Linked DNA regions of Oryctolagus cuniculus. The main gene of each other region encodes a partner of the protein of the gene in region 3 in a complex. Links are inferred from orthologs where the notes say so. Each region holds a gene or a part of one and is shown on either strand. Other genes may lie near its edges. The genes, in order: NCAPH2, NCAPD2, SMC2, NCAPD3, NCAPG and NCAPH.

What was found.
Region 1: the proteins of SMC2 (region 3) and NCAPH2 are in contact, whole or in part, in a cryo-EM structure (PDB 9F5W), measured with the Homo sapiens proteins. The link is inferred for Oryctolagus cuniculus from reciprocal best matches to the Homo sapiens genes SMC2 and NCAPH2. Residues at the interface, in NP_001036015.1 of Homo sapiens: Leu93, Thr125, Gln128, Asp129, Cys132, Gly135, Leu136, Asn137, Met173, Tyr174, Lys177, Lys178; in NP_689512.2 of Homo sapiens: Glu46, Phe53, Ile54, Glu55, Leu58, Leu59, Gly62, Ser63, Ala64, Cys65, Val66, Lys69, Tyr73.
Region 2: SMC2 (region 3) and NCAPD2 share a complex: the UniProt entries of both Homo sapiens proteins name them as parts of the condensin complex. The link is inferred for Oryctolagus cuniculus from reciprocal best matches to the Homo sapiens genes SMC2 and NCAPD2.
Region 4: the proteins of SMC2 (region 3) and NCAPD3 are in contact, whole or in part, in a cryo-EM structure (PDB 9F5W), measured with the Homo sapiens proteins. The link is inferred for Oryctolagus cuniculus from reciprocal best matches to the Homo sapiens genes SMC2 and NCAPD3. Residues at the interface, in NP_001036015.1 of Homo sapiens: Arg112, Ala122, Asn123, Asn124, Thr125, Arg126, Leu218, Lys222, Arg225, His229, Trp940, Asn942, Ala943, Glu944, Phe948, Arg981, Met985, Arg986; in NP_056076.1 of Homo sapiens: Asp31, Met72, Ile80, Pro127, Gly128, Ala131, Phe135, Pro137, Asp141, Lys235, Gln237, Gln240, Leu1121, Asn1196, Asn1200, Pro1203.
Region 5: SMC2 (region 3) and NCAPG share a complex: the UniProt entries of both Homo sapiens proteins name them as parts of the condensin complex. The link is inferred for Oryctolagus cuniculus from reciprocal best matches to the Homo sapiens genes SMC2 and NCAPG.
Region 6: SMC2 (region 3) and NCAPH share a complex: the UniProt entries of both Homo sapiens proteins name them as parts of the condensin complex. The link is inferred for Oryctolagus cuniculus from reciprocal best matches to the Homo sapiens genes SMC2 and NCAPH.

What each region holds. Positions count from the first base shown.
Region 1 is NC_091442.1:123,428,165-123,432,258, forward strand, and holds the start of NCAPH2 (condensin-2 complex subunit H2), read left to right. Parts: upstream 1-1,294; 5' UTR 1,295-1,416; coding exon 1,417-1,524; intron 1,525-4,094. Other genes in the region: LMF2 (lipase maturation factor 2), read right to left, coding at 1-177, 281-309, 448-701, 1,023-1,116. UniProt on the Homo sapiens protein: Regulatory subunit of the condensin-2 complex, a complex that seems to provide chromosomes with an additional level of organization and rigidity and in establishing mitotic chromosome architecture.
Region 2 is NC_091440.1:102,990,232-102,993,731, forward strand, and holds part of NCAPD2 (condensin complex subunit 1), read right to left. Parts: intron 2,638-3,500; coding exon 2,562-2,637; intron 2,301-2,561; coding exon 2,242-2,300; intron 2,168-2,241; exon of another isoform or gene 1,837-2,167; intron 1,761-1,836; coding exon 1,579-1,760; intron 1,289-1,578; coding exon 1,146-1,288; intron 268-1,145; coding exon 140-267; intron 70-139; coding exon 1-69. UniProt on the Homo sapiens protein: Regulatory subunit of the condensin complex, a complex required for conversion of interphase chromatin into mitotic-like condense chromosomes.
Region 3 is NC_091432.1:207,964,379-207,967,878, forward strand, and holds part of SMC2 (structural maintenance of chromosomes protein 2), read left to right. Parts: intron 1-2,867; coding exon 2,868-3,015; intron 3,016-3,500. UniProt on the Homo sapiens protein: Central component of the condensin complex, a complex required for conversion of interphase chromatin into mitotic-like condense chromosomes.
Region 4 is NC_091432.1:128,339,788-128,343,287, forward strand, and holds part of NCAPD3 (condensin-2 complex subunit D3), read right to left. Parts: intron 1,643-3,500; coding exon 1,460-1,642; intron 873-1,459; coding exon 709-872; intron 492-708; coding exon 352-491; intron 1-351.
Region 5 is NC_091433.1:12,948,446-12,952,579, forward strand, and holds the start of NCAPG (condensin complex subunit 3), read left to right. Parts: upstream 1-1,334; 5' UTR 1,335-1,544; coding exon 1,545-1,655; intron 1,656-2,630; coding exon 2,631-2,834; intron 2,835-3,978; coding exon 3,979-4,134. UniProt on the Homo sapiens protein: Regulatory subunit of the condensin complex, a complex required for conversion of interphase chromatin into mitotic-like condense chromosomes.
Region 6 is NC_091433.1:111,235,354-111,239,479, reverse strand, and holds the start of NCAPH (condensin complex subunit 2), read left to right. Parts: upstream 1-1,326; 5' UTR 1,327-1,426; intron 1,427-3,940; 5' UTR 3,941-3,987; coding exon 3,988-4,057; intron 4,058-4,126. UniProt on the Homo sapiens protein: Regulatory subunit of the condensin complex, a complex required for conversion of interphase chromatin into mitotic-like condense chromosomes.

The DNA.
Region 1 (4,094 bases), on a different chromosome or scaffold from region 3:
CCTGAGGCGAACATGAGGCGAAACAGCAGCCAGCGCACCAGCCAGAAGGGGAGGCCCTCGTGGGGTGAGGCCCCCTCCGACCGGCCCTGGGGGGCCTGCTTGCGGCGTCGGCAGAGGGGCCACCCCAGCGGGGCCACCAGCACAGCCAGGAAGCCCGTCTCCAGCAACAGGGAATCCCTGCGGGGACACCAAACAGCACAAAGGACCCTTCCCCATCAAGACTGTGCCCGAGGAACAAACCCCCCACTCTGCCCAGCCCCCTTGCCCAGCAGCCACTCACCACTGGAAATAAAGGAACACCTGGCCCACCTGCGGGGAGAAGAGGTGTCAGGGGCAGGCGTGTGCGTCTGCGCAGTGCGGGGCGGGGCGGGCTGCAGTGGTCGCGCGATGCCCCCCCCCCCCCCCCCCCCCCCCCGGTGCGGCAGGGCGGCCAGCAGCCCCACTTGCCTGGTAGGCCGACAGGTAGGCGGCCCACAGAAGCAGGTAGACCAGGAGGTGGCGCAGCGGGCGCAGCAGCAGGGCACCCAGGGCCAGCAGCGTGCCCAGCAGGCTGAGCAGTTCCAGGCCCTGGGCGGTGTCCAGCCCCAGCACGGGAGCCTCCCACAGCAGCGTCGGGGTCTCCCACAGCTGCTGCAGGCGCCCCTTGCCCTGTGGGCGCAGCGTCCTCCGCGCGGGCAGGATGCCCTCGGGGCCGTACAAGCCTGTGGGAAGGCGCGTCAGGCCGAACCCGCCCGCTCCGGGGCCCCCGGCCAGCCCTCCCCAGCCGAGGTCCGCGGGGGCGGCCCCCCGGCCCCCGCCCCCGCCCCCACGGGGCCCCCGTCCTCATCCGCCGGCCAGAGCCCGGTCCGCACCGAGGCCACCGGCGCCCGCTCCGGGTGGCGTCACGCCCACGGCGCGTCTTGCGGCCCCGCGGGACGCCCACCGCTGCCTCTACCCCTCGCGCAAGGCCGGACCCTCCCCCGCCTGCGGACGGCGCGGGAGAGGAGCGGGCGAGAGGACCCGCGCGCCCTCGGCTCCCTCACCCGGGATCTGCATGTACAGGGAGGCGAAGGCGAACATGAAGATCGCCGCCACGCCCTGCAGAAAGAGCTGCCGCGGGAGCCGGGAGCCCGCCATGTCCGCTACGCGGCCCGCTGGAGCAGAGCCCACGCCGGCCCGGCCCGGCCCCGCCCCGCCCCGCCCCGCCCCGCCCCGCGCGCCCCGCGGCCCTCCCTGGGCGTTTCCGCCACCCGGCGCCGGAGTTCCCCGCGCGGAGCGCCAGCCGCGGTGACGTCATAAGCACGCGCCGCGCCGCGCACGCGTACTTCCTGGGCGGGAAACAGCAAAATGGCGCCAGAACTAGTGGCGGGCTGAGGACGCGGGCCCCCCTCGGACGCCCGCCCTGTGGCCTTCGGGCCGCCCGGCCCCCTCCCGGACATGGAGGACGTGGAGGCGCGCTTCGCCCACCTCCTGCAGCCCATCCGCGACCTCACCAAGAACTGGGAGGTGGACGTGGCGGCCCAGCTGGGCGAGTACTTGGAGGAGGTGAGGGCGGCGGGGGAATGGCGCGGGGCGGCGACGCGGACCGGGGGCCGCCGGGGACCCCGCTGCCTCCGCGTCCGTGGCCGCGCTCGGCCTCAGGCTTGCTGTGGCGCCCCGCCCCCCCGTTCCTCTGTCAATGCACCCGGAGCTGCTACTGCTGGGAGCTGTGGAACCGGTTCGGTAGGCGGCGGCCGCCGTCGGGAGGGAGGAGGCGAGAGGGCTGCGGCGTTCTCGGGGTTCTGTGCCTGGGGCGGGTCGCCTGCCGGGACCCCGCCGCTTCACCCGCGCTCGGGTCCTGACGTCAGCGCCCGCAGGGTCCTCGCCCAGCAGCTCCCTCCGCCTTGAAACAGCGGCGACGAAGGTTTCTTCCTATTTTTGTGCTTGTTTTTCTCCGGAGTGTTGAGATCCCGGGGGAGGGGGCGGCTCGGGTCCCCTTCTGGCACGTTTTCCTGCACAGTCTCATTTCGGTGGTTGTATTTCCACTTTATTCGAAAGGCAGAGAGACCGTTTTCATTCTCTGGTTTGCTTCCCGAATACCCACAGCAGCCAGAGATGGGCTGAAGCCAGGAGCCCAGAACTCGATCCGGGGCACCCAGGTGCTTGGCCACCATCTGGTGCGGAGCGTGCTTCGGCAGGAAGCAGAGGAGCCAGGACTCAAGCCCGGCCCTGTGGCGGGGCCCAGGCTTCCTGTCGCCCTGGACGCCCGCCGGCTTTCCATGGCTGTAAATACTGCCTGGCGGTCAGCGTTGTGGCCCCAGGAGTCGCGGCTGCTCCACTTCGGAGCCGGTTTCCCGCTGAGGAACCTGGGAGAGAAGTGGAAGATGGCTCGGTTGCTTTGTCCCCTGCACCCGCCTGGGAGACCTGGATGGAGTTCCAGGCTTCAGCTTGGCCCAGGCCCACCGTCACCACCTGGGGAGTGCAGGTGGAAGTTACCTTCTCTCTGTTACTCTGCCTTTTGGATAAGTACATTTTTTAAAAGTTGCCTTTTTTTCCAAAGACTTTATTTATTTGAGAGTCAGAGTGACAGAGACAGAGAGAGAGGTCTTCCATCCACTCGTTCACTCCGCAAATGGCTGGAGCTGTGCTGATCAGGAGCTTCTTCCAGGTCTCCCTCATGGGTGCAGGGCCCAAGGACTTGGGCCATCCTCTGCTGCTTTCCCAGGCCATAGCGGAGAGCTGGATTGGAAGAGGGGCAGCTGGGACACGAACTCACGCCCGTATGGGATGATAGTGCCACAGGCAGAGGCTTAGCCTGCTATGCCACAGTGCCACAGTGCTGGCCCCGATAAATCTTTAAAAGAAAAGAGTAGTTCCGGCCGGCGCCGCGGCTCACTAGGCTAATCCTCCGCCTGCGGCGCCGGCACCCCGGGTTCTAGTCCCGGTCGGGGCGCCGGATTCTGTCCCGGTTGCCCCTCTTCCAGGCCAGCTCTCTGCTGTGGCCAGGGAGTGCAGTGGAGGATGGCCCAGGTGCTTGGGCCCTGCACCCCATGGGAGACCAGGAGAAGCACCTGGCTCCTGGCTCCTGCCATCAGATCAGTGCGGTGCGCCGGCCGCGGCGGCCATTGGAGGGTGAACCAACGGCAAGGGAAGACCTTTCTCTCTCTGTCTCTCTCTCTCACTGTCCACTCTGCCTGTAAAAAAAAAAAAAAAAAAAAAGAGTTCCCTGCCTAAAACCCCTCGTGTGTTTTCCTGCACTCAGGTTAAAATCCAGAGTTCCTCCCTCCGTCTGTTTCAGCCTCGCTGTGACCTGTCCTCAGCCTGCGAAGCTGGGAACTCGGTCCGGCTGTCCCGTGCGGGTGGCGGGCACCCAGTTGTTTGAGCTCTCGCGGCTGCATTCCTGCAGGGGCAGGGGCAGGGGCTGGAGCTGGGACCAGACCCACGCTCTCTGCTGCGGGACACGGGCACCTGAGCTGCTCGGCCGGACGCCTGCCCCCAGGCCTGGTCGTCCAGGTGGAGGGAGCCTGTGTCTGAAGGTTCTGGGGTGGGAGGGTGCCCGGTGCAGGGGGCCCTGTGGGACTGCCATGCGGTGAGCAGGGTAGGGGTGCTCGGAGAGGGAGGTGCTTGCCGAGTGTGCCGGGAGCCGGTAGGCGTCTGAGTGGAGCAGCGTGAGTACTGCTGGTGGGTGCAGTGAGGGAGCAGAGCAGCAGGAACACTGGCGTGCAGAGGCCCTCCCGGGAGGGGGACGTGGAATTGGCAGGGGTTGGTGGGGTGAGAGGAGCTGCTCGAGCGTCTGGGTGTGGGTGGGCGGGGCATCGGGTTCAGCTGCACTTGTTCCGTAGGCGTCCGGTGTGGTGTTGAAGGAGGCACTGGGTGTGGGGTCCTGGGAGCAGGTGTGCTGGCGGGGCTGGGGTCACAGCAGGAGGGCTGCTTGATTGTCCTGTCCTGCTCCTGTGTCCTCGTCCGGCGGCTGACCCAGGCGCCCTTGTTGTTCATCGTCAGTGGAAGCAGCTCCTCCCCTCTGGGTGCTGCCGTGGTGCCCGGGAGGCTCACTCCCCAGAGCTGGGTCCTGCCTCTGCCGACGCCTCGGTGCACGGTGGTGGCTCCTCACCTGCCTGCTGTGTTCCATCCGTTTC
Region 2 (3,500 bases), on a different chromosome or scaffold from region 3:
CAGCCGCCACCAGCACAGGTGCCAGGTGTTCAAAGTGCTGCAGCATCTGAATGATCTTCACAGTGGCACCTGTGGATGTACGCGCATGAGAAATGGTGGGCAAAATGCAAAAGGTAGAGCAGGTGGAGGGATAACTTACTGAGCATGTGGTTATAACGTGTCAGGGCCACACCAAGCAGGTGTGTTATGGCTTCCCGTGTGGGCCGGTTCTTCTGGTGATTGATGGTGGGGTTCTCCAGAAGGCGATAGCAACAGCCAGTAACCAAACTGAGAAATGCAGAAAATAGACAAGCAGATCAGCTGTCTGGATTCATTCCTATCAGGGCCTCTGTTCAATGACTAAAGCCCCCAAAGTTGGAGTCTGCTCATTTTCACCCTCCAAGCGCCTTCTGTATCAAGTTGCTTTGCTGATCCCAGCTGGGTACGTTCCTGCCTTCAAGATCACCAGCACTGTAGAACAGTAGGTAAAGCTGCCACCTGCAATGCTGGCGTCCCCTATGAGCACTCGTTCATGTCCTGGCTGCTTTACTTCCTATCCAGCCAGGCTAAGTCCCAGCCACTCTGCTTCTGATGCAGCTCCCTGCTAATGGCCTGGGAAAGCAGCAGATTGGAGATGGAGCAGCCGGGGCATGAACTGGCACCCGTATGGGATGTAGGTGCAACAGCTGGAGGCTTTACTGGCTACACCATATCAGTCCCACAAATAAATAAATCTTTTAAAAAAATAATAAAATCACAACACTCTGCCATCAAATTACCCATCTCGCTCTTCTTTGTTTCATAGCAATAAACCATAAAACATACATATATATATTTCTTACTTGTTTTAAAATTTGTCTTCTATTGTGTACTATAAACTCCAGGGTCGGGGGACAAGAACATCTGTTTACAGAGCCAATAACAATGGCAGGCACACACCGAGGAGATTCTCTGTAAATACCATCTCATGAATAAATGGGCATGAGAGATGAGAGATTCACATTTGTCTCTAACACTCTGTTATCTACTTTCCAATAGTCCCATGCTGCGATTGTACTAGCATGTATTACAGGCAGAACCGAGGCGTACAGTGAAGTATTTGAGAGGCATTTCTGGCAGCAGAGCCCTCATGGCTCTGGCTTAGCTGTAGCCCTCCTAACTCCTACCTGACAAACTCCTCTTCAATGATTGAGTGGTTCCACAGGTGACGAATATCTAATTGGAGTAGCTGCGTTAAAAGCTGAAGAATTGGTTGTCTCTCTTCCTCCCAATCAAAACCATGCGTTGCCTTGGTCCGGGCTTTCTTACCCTAAAAGGAGCATAAATACACACTTAGGAAAAAAAATAAAGAAACAGAGGGCCAAACTCTGCTGGTCTGAGTGCCCAAACTATCCAGTATCAAGATAAGGTAGAAGGTAACATAGGAGAAGGATCACAGGTACTACTTATCAGGGAAGGAAATGTGAGGATACTTTTGAGTACCTTTTCCTAAATCCTAAGAGGGCAAAAGTATTTTCAGAATCATTGGATTCTCTTCTTTACTCTCAATTCCCCTATCCCCCTAGACCTCATAGGAAGTGAGCCAGGACTCCAAATTACCTTCCCACCAAGGTCCAGGTCCATGTGGTTTGTCTGGCTGGCCATGGTCTCGAAAGATTCCAGGAGGCGTATGAGAACATAGCAGTTCATCTTCAGCGCATTTAGATGGGCATTTCTATCTGATATACTCAAGGTTGCATCATCCAAGATGGCTGGAAGCTCCTGGGAGTGGCGCGACACCACTGTGAGGGGAGAATCCGGGAGTCGGTTTCATTCGCTTTCTTCATGTATTCCAACTTCACGAAATCCAGCACTTGCAGCCATCAGATTACCAAAGATCTGTGTTTCATCTCTCAGTGGCCATGCTATAAGCTAAGTCCTTTGGGACCTCTGACTCCTGACAACCCGAACGTGCTCTGTTCCTGCTCTCTCACTCCAGTTACCCAATTCTCCCTGGCAACTGGAAGATTGACCTCTATTCAAGAGAGGCAGCTCAAAAGTAGGAAACAGTAGTTTGTGTTGGTCTGCCCTTACAGCGAACGCACACTACTCTGTATCGCCCACCAAGATTACAGACCTTAAGATGTCAAAGGTCCCAGGGCTTAGCCAGACCAACTGAATCACAACAGCCTTGATATCATCATGTGGCTGACAAAATGGAAGAAATAATAAACACACAAACCACAGGAACCTTCCGCCCCCTACTCTCTGACCCATAAACACCTTTCATCAGGAATTCCAGAGTATCTTCCTTGAGGCCAGCGTCTATACTTCGAAAGTGACTACAAGGGAAACAAAGTGCGAGGGTGAGACAGGAACCTGCAGAGCCATTGTAGTAGTTCAGATCGAACCTGAGGAATCCTACATTTGACAAACATGGGAAACTGCTCAACGGAATACATACAGCAGCAAATTGGGCAAATGCTGATCAGTAGAGATGTGCACCTATGACCATTTATCCGTGCACTTAGAATCTGGAGTTTCAGGACTAGCATGCGAGGTCAGGGCAATAGCCACCATGTGCCGCTGGGTGTTTCACTTACTGTAAAATGCTGTAGATGGTATCAAAGTGCTGCAGGATAGCCAGGGGCCCCTGAGCTCGGAAGGCAGCCTGAAATGCTACAAAGGATCAAAGAAACTGGTCAATTTGGAAGGGAAAAGAGACCTTTTTGGTAAATTCTATTCATGGCAGAAAACCAGGTTTATTGCTTTAATGGCTAGAATCACAAAAGACAGATGGAAAACTTTTCCTTGAAACCTGCAATAATTATAATGATATATATGTTTTACAATTAAAACCCCAGTTGAGTTTCACTACACATCTAAGCTAGATCCAGCAGACACTCATGCCTATCTCATGGGAAAAGAAACTACGTCTTCATAGTTCTTATGTGACTTGTCCAAGTTATAGCAAACTGAGAACTTTTTAAATTAACTTTTTATTTTGAAATTACGAAAAAGTGGTGTAACAGTACAGTTCCTGTACCTTTCACCTAAATATTGTTAAATCCTATATAACTGTAGTGCAAATATTTATTCCAAATCAAAACATTAACTTTGGGGCCAGTGCTGTGGTATGGCGGGTAAAACCACCGCCTAGAGTGCCAGCATCCCATATGGGCACTGGTTTGAGATCTGGCAGCTCCATTTCCAATCCAGCTCTCTGCTATGGCCTGGGAAAAGCAGTGGAGGATGGCCCAAGTCCTTGGGCCCTTGCACCTGCATGGGAGACCCAGAAGAAGCTCCTGGCTCCTGGTTTCAGATTGGCCCAGTTCCAGCCATTGTGGCCATTTGGGGAGTGAACCAGCGGATGGAAGATCTCTCTCTCTGCCTCTCTGTAACTCTGCCTTTCAAATAAATAAGCTGCTGCCTGTGATGCCATCATACCACATGAGCACAGGTTAGAGTCCCCGCTGCTCTATTTCTGATTCAGCTCCTTGCTAGCGTGCCTGGGAAAGCAGCAAAAGATGGCCCAAATGCTT
Region 3 (3,500 bases):
ATCAAACTGATTTGCATGTTATTTAATTGTTCATCAGAACAAAGCCCTGTGCTCTTTAAAGAAAGACACTAAGCAATGTAATAACCACAGTGTTAGGGATCGAATAAAAATAATATGACAAAAATTAAGAAAAAGGACTATACAGAAAAGTCAGTCAGTAGAAACAGAACAAGAAATGACAGAAGTAGGAGACAAGGAAATCAGAGTTAGATGCTCTATTTTCAAGAATTACCAAGAAAATGAACATAATAATTCTAAGTTCTACTTGATTTTAATAGTATTTTTACCTTGAGAAGCTATAAGATAAAAAAGTATACCTGAAATGAATTTTACTGCCAGAGGTAACAGATCTGACTCTGAAAGAAAAATGCTTAAACTTGAAGATACATTAGTAGATTTTATTTAAGCTAAACTGAAAAATTAAAAACTAAAGCTAAAGAGCTTTAATATCCTGTGAGAGGCTACCTGACATACATATAACTGAAGTTTCAAAAGAAGGCAGACAGAAAGATACCATTATTTAATGATCCCAGATATTGCAGATATAATGAATTCTGAAACCAATACATTTTGGTTTTATGAATTCCAGGTAGGATAAACACAAACACAGTAATCCTGCAAGTCATGTATAAAATTGCTGACAGCCAGTGATTAGGAGAAAAATCTTAGAAGAAACCAGGGGAAAAGAGGTAAATTAATTCTTGTCCAGAAGTCTAGGATATCTATAGGGCTCAAAGAAAAATGTGTCAATCTAGAATTCTGTATCTAACAGAAAAAGTCTTCACATTGAAGGTGTTATGCTTTTACAGAAAAACAAAAGCTAAACATTTTGTTATAACTACTACAGATTGAAGGAAATTCTCAGGCAAAAGTAAAATGATACCAGATGGAACCTTGTGTTTACTTAAGGGAATGAAGAGGGTTGGCTAAAACATGCCTTAGAGAACAATGATGCAGAAACTCAGCATACCAAGAAACTTAAAAGATCATGTGACCTTTGCTGCAGCCAGCCAGATAAAAAATTAAACCCTCCCAAGAAAAATTCTAAATATTTACATATGGAAATTGATTTAGTAATTTTTTCTCCTACAGAATGTACAGTTCCTAGTCCTTGATTTGTTCTCATATTATAACTCTTATTTGTAGAAAATATTGATCTGTTGATTTTCCCTATGAACATCTTTGCGATTTTGAGTAGAAATATATTCCAGCTCATACTTCATGATTGATACAATTTCTAAATAGGTTAAGATGTGAAAATAGCTCTAGTTGTTTGTTAATCAAAATTGAATCCCATAATTTAAATCCCAGTATCATTATTTAGAAAATACTTATTTTTAAGACTTATCTGTTTGAGAGGCAAAGAGATTTTCCATCCTCTGCTTCACTCGCCAAATGGGTGCAACTGCCAGGAGCCTGGAAATGGAGCAGCTGAGACTCTTAACTGGTGTTCCACTGTGGGATGCCAGCATTGCAGCAAGCAGCTTAATTTGCTGTGCCACAACATGGCTCCCCCAGAACACATTTAGAAGAGAATAGAAAATGGATGTACCCCTTCCTACTGAATCCTATAAATTATTACATAACTAAAATACTTTAAAATTATTTTTGGATACACCATGATCAAGTTTAAAGCTTAACGTCTTAAGCATTTGGCATAGAGAAAGCTAAAGAAAAATATTTTTTTATGTTACCTGAATGACCTCAGCTTTTGGCTGTAGTGGTTCAGTCTCAATATGCTTGTACGACTTCATGCATTTCTTGTTTCCCTTCCACTGTTGCACACTCCTCCACACACACACACACACACAGTTGGTAGCTTCATTAATAGCCATTTGGAATGCTGTAAGCATTGAATTATTTATTATAAAATTGTATTACAAGAGGTATTTGTAATTGTATTTTTCAAATAATTTATAAATATTTTATAAATGCTTTTTAATTGAAATACATTTAAGAAAAATATAAAGACTTGGCCGGCGCCGTGGCTCAATAGGCTAATCCTCCACCTTGCGGCGCCGGCACACCGGGTTCTAGTCCCGGTTGGGGCGCCGGATTCTGTCCCGGTTGCCCCTCTTCCAGGCCAGCTCTCTGCTATGGCCAGGGAGTGCAGTGGAGGATGGCCCAGGTGCTTGGGCCCTGCACCCCATGGGAGACCAGGAAAAGCACCTGGCTCCTGGCTCCTGCCAGGATCAGCGCGGTGCGCCGGCTGCAGCGGCGGCCATTGGAGGGTGAACCAACGGCAAAGGAAGACCTTTCTCTCTGTCTCTCTCTCTCACTGTCCACTCTGCCTGTCAAAAAAAAAAAAGAAAAAAAAAAAAAAAGAAAAATATAAAGACTGATTTCAATATCAGAATGCAAATAGATGCAGTTAAAAGGAGTGGTAAGCAAGTTAGAAGAAAATAGATCATGGTTATGGAATCTCGGCATAAGGTATAACTACAAATTCTAGGTAAGAATTGGCTGAACTTCTGACACTGAAGTACTTAGAGTTACAGATCATAATCTATACAATGCACTAGCAAATAAAAATATAAGGAAAAAATGCATAGTATCTGTGTGCATGCTCAGTGTAGGTGTATATATAATAAAAGTGGAAAATGTCACCTAAGTCAGTTATAAAGGTAAGTACCAAAATACGACAGTATCAGAATTGTCTTATAAAAGGAGAATGCTCATGAAGGAAAATGAAAAGCTAAAATAAACATTTTAATACGAAAATACTGAAGTTTGAAACTTAAACACTCTTTATATGACTTGATCATAAAACTGTACTATTTGTCCTAATAGGACTACAGATTTGCTTTAGGGTTTGGTGATAAGTAGTAAAAAAAATAATGGTTCTTTTTCAACTCCACTTTTCTTAGGTCTTTAGTGGCTCTGTCATTAATACTGTCTATGCTCCTCTTCAAACCTGCTCCAATTTATATCTTGGATGAGGTAGATGCAGCCTTGGATCTTTCTCATACCCAGAATATTGGGCAGATGCTGCGTACTCATTTCACACATTCTCAGGTAAGGCCCATAAAAAAATTCTCAGCTGTGGTTTATGTGGAATATCTGTTTTTCTAGAACTATTCTTTTAAGATATTTAGGATTAAAGGGCACTCTAAAGCATTTTCTGCCTTATTTTCATAAACTTATGTTACAATGAGCATAGAATGTTTTAGTGTACCTTTAAAATAAGAGCCAGTCATTCAGATTATTGGTTGTATGAGAGAGAATCCAGTTTAGTCATAATATATGTGGGGAGCAACTCGGACTAGACTAAGTTACTGGAATTAAGACTTATTCTATGCATCTGCTCTCCCACAATATGGCGCTGAGAAGGGAGAAACAGCTTCTACACAGCTGCCTCCAGTTCAACCAATAAACTGTAGGACCTGCTCCTGATTGCAGGAGAGCAGCGTACTCGGCGTGTGGGTAGCAGAGTTGGGATTGGTGGAAGAGGACTATAAAGGAGGAGAGAGACAACATGCACCAGGAACATCTAAGGGGAA
Region 4 (3,500 bases), about 80 Mb from region 3:
TGGAATGCTACAGAATCACTAGTGGAAGTTCTGAAAGAAGAGTTCATGGAGAAAATCTCACTCACTGCTTATTATTGTGTGCACAGGGAAGCAGATTATTTATAAATGATACAAGTAAATGTATAAACAAAACTGTGTGTGCAGTAGGAACACTGCCATGGTGAGGTCTGGAGTTTGCTCCATTTGCCAAATCTCTTAGCACAAATATACACTGCTTTATTACCCACAATCCTAAATCTTCAATTAATATTGTTTAAAGATGGGAAAACAGAAACCATTTTAAAAGGAGTAAGTAGCAGCCTGTTTTATTTGTAAGCTCTCACTCTGTCTGGGGCCAACCCAAAGGCTTACCGTGATTGCTTGTTTTGTCCAGGCTTTCAGAATTTAAAGCGAAAGGCACAACTCCCAGGCTCCGGCTCTGATGCCTGCTCTTTGACTCCACTGCTTTCTTGACGGAATTCAAGATCGCAATGGTGCTCAGGGACATGGGCCTGTGGAGAACAAGAAGCCACACATGGGGACGTTCACAGTGCAGGCCCTGCAGAGGCAGCACAGACACCACCGTGCCTTCCCATGTCCTTCCCAGAGCACGGCTCATCCGCACGTGCCTTGACCTCTAAGGGAGGGTGTGCTGATGCCTGGCGGGGACAGCAGATCCTGGGGACGGTAGTGGAGAACCGTCCTTGGCTGCCACACTGAGCTCTCTACCTGGCTTTGGGCATTAACATTTTCAATGGTCCCATTTCTTGTGTAGGAGGCAAGGTTGGTGCATGGCCAGTGCTTGACCAGGGAGTTGAGGGCTGGCGCACGGCAGGGAGCACAGCAGGATTTTCTTGGCCAGGGGGAGCTGGCGTTTCTAAGCCTGGAGCAGCCTGTTAAGAGAAAAGGAATCGAATTGTCATGTGCTGTGAGCAAGTCCATACAAAATGTATCTTAATATCGCATCAGCCCTAGGCAAGCAGAACTTTCTCTTCAGAAACAGAGAACTACTAGAAAACTGCCCTGCGAGATGTAGCATTAAAAACAACGGGAAGTGCAGTTCGTCCTCTTCTCTTTTTAACAGAGCAGATCTGTCTGGAATCCCCAGGGCAGGGAGAACACAGTGAATGTGGGGAGCAGGGAACCCAGCAAGACCCCAGGGGACACCGTACCCTAAGAGGTGAAAAGACTGCAAATACTCAGCACGTCAAAGAGACCTGGGTGTCCACAGCCTTGGGCATCAGAAGTTCTGCCCCCTGGTGGCATCTTGCTCTCTGGGCATGTGTAAGTTTCTCCACATTCCTATCACAAGACTTCCCCGGGAGTCCCTGTGACACGGCCCTGGGGGAGGGCAGGCCTCAAGGTATCACAGGCAACAAAGGAACTGGGCCGTGGCCAGCAGGCAGCATAAGGTCTGACTCTTGCCGCAGAGGGCAGACTGGAGACCTGGTCACGCTTAAGGTGGAAGCCTCCTGTCTACCTGCACTGCTTGCGCCCCGTCGGCACTGTCTGTGGTCCTAGTCGCCTCCGCCAGTTTGGCCAGCTCTTGCTCTTGGGCTAGCTGTTCGTTGTACTTCTTCATGTCGTACTCAAGTTCTGATGCCAGTTGTTTGTCAACAGCGAAGAAGTCCTTGACTTCATCCCGGTAATCCTGCATCACCTCCTACAACACACCAGAAGCATCCTTTAATGTTTCCTTGGGTAGAAAAACAAGCCTATTTTATAAATAAGACTCCTATTTCTGAGGACAGCCTTTCTACTGCAGTAACTAACAGGTTAACACATCAAGGAAACACTAACTGCTCTTAGCGTGGACCACAGAAACAAGTGAACAGGCTGTGAGATTTCACTAATAGCTCTGATCTCTTAGGAAGCTTCTCGTCTCTGCTTCCCGTCAGGCCAACCTCCCAGTGCCTCCTGGGGGAAAGTCACGGTTCTGGCTTAGACAAGGTTCCTGGGTGTGTTACAGGACATGGTGCAGCCTGAGAGTGCTCATCTGTCTTGGTTAGTGTCCCCCTCTGGCTCCCCATTGACCATGGCCATGCCTGGGTCCCATCTCTGTGCCCTCCTGCGAAGATTTAGGTCCACCTGGGTAAGACATTCTCAGGTCTTCCAGGGGGCTGCCAGGGACACAGCCTCACTCCTAAGAGAAACCACAGCAGAGAACAGCATTGCAGGGAGACAAGGATCCACGGCTGCTCCAGCTGGGAGGGAGGAGGGAAACCCACCCTCCCTTTCAGCTGCTACTAAGAGTGGGTTCCACAGAGGAGGAAGAGAATCATGGCAGCCACAGACATAAAGCACCTTTGGGGCACCCTCTGCAGATGTGATCAGAAATAGGTGTATGCTTGTCTGAAGTGTTTAGGTGGTCTCATTAGCTTCTCAGTGCCTTTTTTTTCCCCTGAGGCTTAAAACAGGGCAATAAAAATGTAAGAATGGGGTGTACGTTTGGCAGTGGCTAACATGACGCTTAGGATGTTCACATCTTATACTGGAGTGCCTGGGTTTGAGTCTGGTTCTGCTCCTGATTCTAGCTTCTTGCTAATGTGCACCCCTGGGAGGAAGTAGTGATGGCTCAAGTAGTTGGGTCCCTGCCACCCACATGGGAGACTTGGATTGAGTTTTAGGATCCTGGCTTTGACCTGGCCCATCCTGGCTGTTGTAGGTGAACCAGCAGATGGGAAATCTCTCTCTTTCTCTGCGCCTGTCTGTCCCTGTCTTTCTGCCTTTCAAATAAAAATTAAAAAAAAAAATAAATATAAAGTAATCTAAAGTTCTCATTTTTTCCATGCAGTGAGCCTATCTTTCCCACCTTAACTTCCCTAGGATAAAAGCTATTTGAAATACTATGTCAATACAATGTCAATTTTGCTGTAGCAATTTTTGGAAAAAGAAAATTCTTTCAAGAGGAAAAATGCATAATGTGAACAGAGAAATGACTCCGTTCAATTAAAGGAAAAAATGCTGGAATAATTTCTGGGTGAAAGATTTTTCCAGAAAAATCTGAGGGCTTGTTTAGGTCTGTACTGTGAGTAAACACACCATGGCTTTGCCTGCATGGAGCTTCTCGGGGTTCTCCTATTGCATAATAGAATCTCCAGCCCAGGGATGGTGTTGCCCAGGTTGGTGGCTGGTGCCCAAGTCCCCAGACATGCTGTCACAGGACAGGGCAGTGACTCCCTGAGCTTGCCAATCTGGGACTGCAATACCCTTCACAGGAAGTGCTGAGATGATGACTCTGTCACAGATCCCAGTCGAGAAAGTCTTCAAAATGGAATTCAACCCCACTAGGACTCACCTGCTCAGCACAGCGAGTCAGCTCGTCACAGACTCTGCCACGTGAGGAAAGGACAGCTTTAGGGGAGCCTCTGGCCAGACCCCCCATCCTCTCTACAATCGTCACAGGCCTGTGTGACCTGGGTATTGCTAAGTAAACCCACATGCACTGTGAGTCCTGACTGTACACTGTCCGTGGCATCATAACTCACAGGAGACCCTAAGGAAAGGACTGGTGCCTGGGC
Region 5 (4,134 bases), on a different chromosome or scaffold from region 3:
GATTCTTCATAAAATGGTTAAAACACAAAACAGTAGAATATATTCATTCAATGATTTATCTATATGTCCTTAATATAGAAAGCTTTTGTTCTCTAAAAGTTAACAGTAAAGTCTAAAAGTGTTATTTCTAGAGAGGGAAGACAACTCAAAAGGAGCAAGATGCACAGGCAGCTTTGTAAGGGTCTATTTCTTCAGGTGGTTATGGCTACATAGTGAGGAACAGGAGGGAGAAATGTCTTCCCTCCAACTTCCTAGGTTCTTTGGCTGGTCTACCAGTGAAGTTGCCCTAAGACAGATTCAACAGAAACAACAACAACAACAACAACAAAAAGTAAGGGACAGGAGTCCCAGAAAAAGAGATGACAGCTTACACTTACGGAATATCCTGGGCTACACAAAGCAACCGGGTTTCTGGTTGGGAGGTGGTGACACAAGTTATGAGAGGGTGCAAAGAGGAAACGTGTGGAGACTATAGATCAGCAGAGAACAGAAGTGTGAAGGAGTCCTCTTCCAGATACAGATAGTTCAGTAGTCTCCTAATTTCTTTGACAGACCTAACTTCAAGGATAGCTTTTCACAGCTCCTCCAGAGCTGGCAGTTCCTTATAACAGCTCAAAATAAGCCCAGCAAGTATATTTTAGAGAGGCATGTTCTCGTCTCCTACTGTCATGTTTTGGGGTGGTTTGTCCTAAGCAGCCCCCAATAAAAGTATTCGTTTTTGTCTGACGCAGTTTCACTTTTCTCCCCCAAAAAAGGTTTTAAAGACTGAGTTCCTGTTCCTCACCGTGACCACTTAGCTAGATTTTCCCATTCTCTCCGTTCTCCTTTAACACACTGTAGCTACGCAGGACTGTAAACTAAGCTTTGAAAGCTGGCACGTCCCGAGCCAGCTCAGCTAAATAAAATCATACGCTGCTTCCAGACGTCAGCCCCTCGGGCCCTGGAGAGACCGCGGCCCGTGGAGACCTCGGAACGCCTCCCTCAGCCTACCGGGGAGCGTCTCCCCGCTCACGAGCAGCCGGGCTGCGGTCCGGGCTTCCCGAACGCCCCATCTCCCCCTCCTCTCCGCATCTCCCGCCCCTGCGGCGGGAACACAGATTGTTCCCCTCAGCAGATCCCTGTTCTCACCCATGGAGGAGCTTTTTTTCTCGTCTCACCACCAGACGCACGATCCCGCTAGGCCTAGCGCCACCAGCCCTGTCCCGAAAGTAGAACAGCAGCTCCGCCAGCCCTCCCTGACGACACCACTTCCGGCCAAGCCAACGCCCCCTCTCCTTAGAAACGCCACTTCCCACCGGGAAACACCCGACGCGCATGCGCTCAAAGCGCGGGCAGAGCCAGAGGGACAGGATTCGGTTCTCTCCGCTCTCGCCTCTGGCGCGCTCGCGGAAGTCTCGCGGTATTTCCTTCTCTCGCGAGAGTTATTTGAACGTTCTGGCGGGTAACCACGCCCCAAGTGGCGTTCTGAGGAGAATTCGGTGTTGGGGCGGTCGGGCCAGAAGCACTGAAGCGGGCAAGGATAGTCCTGGCCGGGTCACCTCGCCATGGGAGCGGAAAAGAGAGTGCTGCCGGTTAAGGAGGCCTTTCAGCTGGCGCAGCAGCCGCACCAGAACCAGGCGAAGCTGGTGGTGGCGCTGAGCCGCACCTACGGCACGGTAAGCGCCGGAATGGCTGTGGGCCCTTCGCCGCCTTCGCCCAGCCCTGCCTTGGCTCAGCCTCCCCCAGGAGCTTCCCCGGGACCCTTCGGACTCGGCCCGCGCGACTCCACCTCCTCCGCTGTGGCGAGCCGCTTTGGAGTGAAGTACGGAGAGGTCGGGCGACTCGCCCAGAATGGCTGGAAGCCCTGGCGCCGTCCACTTTCTCTTCGCGGTCCTTACCCCCGGCCGGAGATGGGGGCGGCGCGAACCGTTAGTCCGGAGGGTGACCCGAGGCGTCCGGGCTCTCAGTGTCGGGTCGCCGAGTAGGTCGTGGACCCCAAGGCTCGGTGGTCCTTGCCCGTCGGGCCCCCGCTCACAGCAGAAAAGCCAGCCATCATCAAATCAGTCTCATCCCGCCCTATGTCAAATTGAGTCCAGCGTCCAAGCAGATTACTCGCGAGGACCTTTCCCTTCCTGTTCACCTAAATACCGTGTGTTTGTTTTGAGTGAAGCCGTGGGAAGAACAGGACAATGAAGCTCGGAAGATAGATTATCTTGAAGTCTAAGAAAAACTAAGTATAGCAAGGGCTTTGAGGATATGAGGTAGGATGTGAAAGTTTTATCAAAAAGGAATTGCGGGGTGATGAGCAAATTAAATACGGTACATAAAAAAGCCAGCGTAGGTTTTGAGTTTTTCCATGAAGAAGCATGCTTCTACTAACGTGATTCTAAAGACATGTAAAGAAGTATCAAAAGAGTCCATTCACTGTCAAAATTTATGGTTGCAGACTCTTTGGGGGAAGCAAATTACATCGTGGAGAGAAGTTTGTGCAAGCTTATTTTTCCCTTTTTGCTGGTGTGGATACTTCAGAGTTTACAAAAAAGTTTTTCGTTTGAATTAGGGCCGGTGCTGTCAGCAATGTTAAGGTAATGTTTTGGAAAAAAGTATTACCAGTGCAGTTCAGTTCGTGCAAGTTATCTTTTGTCTTTCAGATGAATGATAAAACAGTTTTTCATGAGGAGTTCATCCATTACCTTAAGTATGCTATGGTGATCTATAAACGTGAGCCAGCTGTGGAGAGAGTAATAGAATTTGCAGCAAAGTTTGTTACTTCCTTTCACCAATCAGATATGGAAGATGATGAAGAAGAGGAGGATGGTGGCATTTTAAATTATTTGTTTACTTTTCTCTTACAGGTATGTTGAAAGCTAACACCTTGGAGAAGTGTTGTAGAAGGTTTTACCGTAAAGTTTATATATTGTAGACAATGAAATGTCTGGTGATTGAGAAAGCATCTGACTTTTTATAGGAAATAGTAGAACTATCATTAAGATTAAAAAGTGTTTCTTAAAAAATGACTCCAGTAAGCTGCGCTGCGGCTCACTAGGCTAATCCTCCACCTGCGGCGCCAGCACACCGGGTTCTAGTCCCGGTAAGGGCACAGGATTCTGTCCGGGTTGCTCCTCTTCCAGTCCAGCTCCCTGCTGTGGCCCTGGAGTGCAGTGGAGGATGGCCCAAGTGTCTGGGCCCTGCACCCGCATGGGAGACCAGGAGAAGCACCTGGCTCCTGGCTTCAGATCAGCGCGGTGCACCGGCTGCAGCCCGCTGGCCACAGCAGCCAGTGCGGGGGGCGGGGTGAACCAACGGGAAAGGAAGACCTTTTTCTTTGTCTGTCTCTCTCACTGTCCACTCTGTCCAAAAAAACCCCAAAAGACTCCAGCATTAAATTTTTAATGACTTCTCAACCCTTTGTTACATGTTTGTTTTAAATGAGTTCTTTATTTTAGAAATAAAGTAAGAGTTCCTAAAAGAGCAATTTGTTCTTATTTATTTATTTGTTTTTATTTGACAGGCAAAATAGACAGAGAGAGACAGAGAAAGGTTTTCCTTCCATTGGTTCCACTCCCCAAATGGCTGCTGGATCCGGCGTGCTGCGCCAATCCAAAGCCAGGAGCCAGGTGCTTTTTCCCAGTCTCCCATGCAGTGTAGGGGCCCAAGCACTTGGGCCATCCTCCACTGCCCTGCCTGGCCACAGCAGAGAGCTGGACTGGAAGCGGAGCAACCGGGGCTAGAACTGGCGCCCATATGGGATGCTGGCTCGGCAGGCGGAGGAGTAACCAAGTGAGCCAGGGCAGTGCCCCAAGAGCAATGTGTTGTTATAGCAAATATTTCTTCTAGGCTGTGTTTGATTATATACAAAATATCTATTTACTGCACCGTGATCGTTAACCACTTCTGCAACTAAGGAGTTACTGTTGTAAATTCTTATAGAAAGTTCAAGTCATATGCATTGCTTAAAAATGATATGAGTGAATAAATTTTGATTTGTTTCTGTTTTAGTCTCATGAAGCAAATAGCAATGCAGTCAGATTTAGAGTATGCCAGCTCATAAACAAGCTTTTGGGAAGTATGCCAGAAAATGCCCAGATTGATGATCATTTGTTTGATAAAATTAATGAAGCTATGCTTATTAGATTAAAGGATAAGATTCCAAAT
Region 6 (4,126 bases), on a different chromosome or scaffold from region 3:
AGAACTGTTTCACCCTGAATGCCAACAGCATGCTTGAGAAGAAACACTGTAAAAGACTCCAGATGTGTGTGACAAGAAATTATAGGAGGGAGGCCGGAGCTGTAGGGCAGTGGGTTAAAGCTCCAGCCTGCAGTGGCGGCATCCCATATGGGCGCCGGTTCAAGTCCTGGCTGCTCCACTTCCCATCCAGCTCTCTGCTATGGCCTGGGAAAGCAATGGAGGATGGCCCAGGTCCTTGGGCCCCTGCACCCGCATGGGAGACCTGGAAGCTCCTGGCACCGGATCGATTCAGCTTCGGCTGTTGTGGTCATTTAGGGAGTGAACCAGCGGAACGTAAGACCTTTCTCTCTCTCTGGCTCTACCTCTCTCTGTAACTCTGTCTTTCAAATAAATAAATAAATCTTAAAAAAAAAATTACAGGAGGCTTTAGGGTTATCGGGGGAATCGCCATGGCCTTTCTCCCCTAAATACAATCCTTGGCCAGGGGAAGCAGAACGGACAGGGGCACCTTATACCCCCCTCACTTCTCCAACCTTTCACTGGAAGGGGGGAGTGGTTTCCAGGGAGACTTTCACAAGAATCAGTGAAAACGATGGGCTTCACTTATAAAAATAATTTTAAAAAGTACACAACGTTGATTTTGCACCCGTCCTCCCCTCTGCCCCCCAAAGTGCCTCATTCCGGAGCGGGCTCGCTCTCGCTGCTTCCAACCCACACACACCCCGTCTTCACTTAGCATCTCCTTAGCGTTTTGCGGCCCTCAAGGTACCGGTCCAGCGACACCTGGTTCTTCGGGGATCCGCCTCCCTTTTAGGGATGCCGCGATAGCAGAGCCCTCGGCTGTCCAGATCGACGCTCGGTCCCCAGCGCACAGTTCCGCGCCTGGCGCTCAGAAGGAGGGGGCATCTACACCATGACAACCACTCCATGGGCCTCCCCCGGAGTACGCCCCAGGGCCTGGCCCCTCAGCCCAGGCCGCCTCACTTCCGCGGCTACACCGGCAGGAACCCCGCCAACGGAGCGAGCGGTCTGCGCAGGCGCACTTCTGGCCCCGCCCACGAGGGACGTCACGCGGCCGTTACGCCGCCCGGGCGTCCAGGCGCGCGCGATTTAAATGCGTCTCGGAGCCCTCGAAGGCAAGATGGGTCCTCCTTACCCAGGTGAGGCCGGGGCCCGGGGGAGGCACGGTGCTCAGGGGCCGCTGTGAAGCGGTGCTCGGGGCGCGGGGAGAGCGGGCGCCGAGCGCGGCCCGGTTCGCGGAGACGGGGAGGCGAGGGCTCGGCGGGCGGTGGGCGCGCGCGGGGCTGGCCGGCTCCTGCGTTCCGCGGCCCTGCACCTTGCTGGCTTTTCTGGCCGTTGAACGGGCGAATTTCTCGGGAGAGATGTCTGTCATTTGCAGCGCGGCGGCACGGCTGTGGTTACCACTGTATGTTTAGCGTGCATGCATGTAAAGAGAAGAACAGATTAAAAATCCCTGGCCTCTTAGAACCTTAGGCCCGTGGACTGAGACATTTGGTCATCGTCATTTAGATCATAAAGCCATGGCGACGGCTGAGAACGCTAGGAAGACCTGGGCCAGAGTGCACCTGGGACCAGCATTTAGAAGAGGGTAGAAAAACTGGGGAGAGAGAGGTATTGCGGAATCCAAGAGTGGTTCCGAAAAGGACGGAGTCGGCAGCTGTCTCAAATGCTGCCAGAGAGAGAGAGAGAGAGAGAGAGAGAGAGAGAGAGAGACACGCAATCAGGGAAAGATCTGGGGAGCTGGGACCTGCCTTTCGTTCTCAACTGTTTCCCTCCGGGACAGGTGCTCCCTTCAGTACTGTTTGTTACGGTTTCTTGTCCCAAGGTCCAGCTCCCTACAGTGCCTGCCTCCAAAGGGTCACAAGTCCTCTTGATTTTGTTTCTAAAAATGTCTTTTGCCTCTTTCCTGTTTTGACTTCTTGTTTGTTTTGACCTCAGGTGAGAGTTTACTTAGTCCTACTCTTCTGTCACCAGGGAACATGTGAGGTTCTTGTTTTATCCTTGTTCATCACTCCTATTTGTTGTTTCATTGATGTATCACTTTTGTTTTTCTAAATATTTATTTATTTGAAAGGCAAAGGCAGAGTTAGAAGGGAAGTGGGGACGGAGGAGGTCTTCCATCCACTGGCTCATTCCCCAATTGGCTGCAATGGCCAGAGCTGCGCTGATCCGAAGCCGGAAGCCAGGAGCTTCTTCCAGGTCTCCCATGTGGGTGCAGGGACCCAAGGACTTGGGCCATCTTCTACTGCTTTCCCAGGCCACAACAGAGGTGGATCAGAAGTGGAGCAGCTGGGACTTGAATCAGTGCCTATATGGGATGCCGGCACGGCAGGTGGCGGCTTTACCTGCTATGCCACAGCGCTGGCACTGGCCCCAATGTATCACTTTTAAAATGTTTATTTTTGTTTATTTGAGAGACAGAGCTCCTATCAGCTGGTTTGCCTTCCAAATGACTACAATGGCCAGGACTGGGCCAGGGCAAAACCAGGAGCTGGGGACACAATCCAGGTCTCCCACATGGGTAGAGGGAAGCCAGCTACTTGAGCCACCACTGCCACTGCCTTCCAGGGTCCACGTGAGCAGGAAGCTGGACTCACAAATGGAGCCAGGACTTGAACCTAGGGCTGTGGGTATCCAAACCAGCAGCCGAAACACTCATACCTGCCCCGTCCCTTCATTTTTAATATGTTCCTATAAAATAGATTTTGCATATTTTCTGTATCACCAGTTCTGAACCAGCTGGGATCCTTATCCTTATTCCCATTAGGAAGATGAAGCAGCAAGTGCCTTGAGCATTTACTTGACCTCTCCCCAGCTGGTAAGAGAGACAGCTGGGTTTGAAGCCAGGTCTCTGACTCTGACATCTGCAAACTCTCCCACGGTCTCCCAGTTCTTCCTTTGTTTTCCAGGGATCCTGTTTCTTGCTCCACTGTAGTGGACCATAGCCACTCACTACCAGAGTCGCACCCTAGACCTTGTCATTAAACAATAGCCCATCACTCCGTCATCTCAGTTTTCAATACCCTGCCTCTCAGTGCCACCTTTGTCTTTCCGGCTCTGACAGTATTGTGATCCAGCAGACCTATATTCTGCTTCTCCCTGTCGCTCACCGCTCGCACATCCTTGGTCCCATCTTGGCTTGCATCCCTGCTAAGTCCGCATAACTCCTCCCTTGCCTCCTGGCTTCCTCATAACTGCTCACTGACCGCTCTCACAACCCTGGCTAATCCCGACCTTGCCTGCCCCGCACACCTGACGATGGTGGGAGAGAAACACCAGCCACGCTGAGTGGTCTCGGGGTCCTAGAGCTACCCAGCAGCCGCGCTGCTTCCCTGTTTCATTCACTGTTTCCTGCCTCCCCTTTCTCCTCTAACACCGTCTCTCCCACCCTCCCCTCAGCTGCTGGTGCTTTGTGTTCACTTCTGTTTTGCCGAGTAAATGAAAGCAGGGCCATCGTTGTGGCACAGTGGGTTAAGCTGTTGACTCTGACGTCAGCATCCCATATAGGAGCACAGTTCAAGTCCCAGCTGCTCCGCTTCAGCTGCCTGCTGCTGTGCTGGGGAAAGCAGAGGACGATGGACCAAGTGCTTGGGTCCTGCCACCCACGGCGGGGACCCGGGTCGGTGCTCCAGGCTCCTGATTTGGCCTGAACCAGCCCCAGCAGTTGCGGCCATTTGGGGAGTGAACCCTCCCTCTCCCTGTCTCTCTCACTCTACCTGTCAGATCTTAAAAAAAATAATCAAACCAGAACATCCACATGTCTGTTGTACCTGCTCCCCTACCTGTTTCCCCAAGAGAGAGCCTTTCCTGACCTCCCACCTCCTGCTTTGAAGAAAAAAAAAAAAAAACAAACTTTTTTTTCATAGCATTTGGCTCTGTGCCGTATATTTTCTAACTTCTTATTATGAAAATATTCAAGCATCCAGGGAAGTTGAAAGACTGATACAATAAGACCCTGATGCTCTGATGCCGATCCAGCAATTGTTAGCATTTTGCCATCTATACTTTACGGGAGTTTTGACCGATTCAGTTAAAAGTAAGTTGTACTTCACCCCTAAATTGTTTCTTATGCATTTACTAACAGTGTTGACATTCTGCATAATCA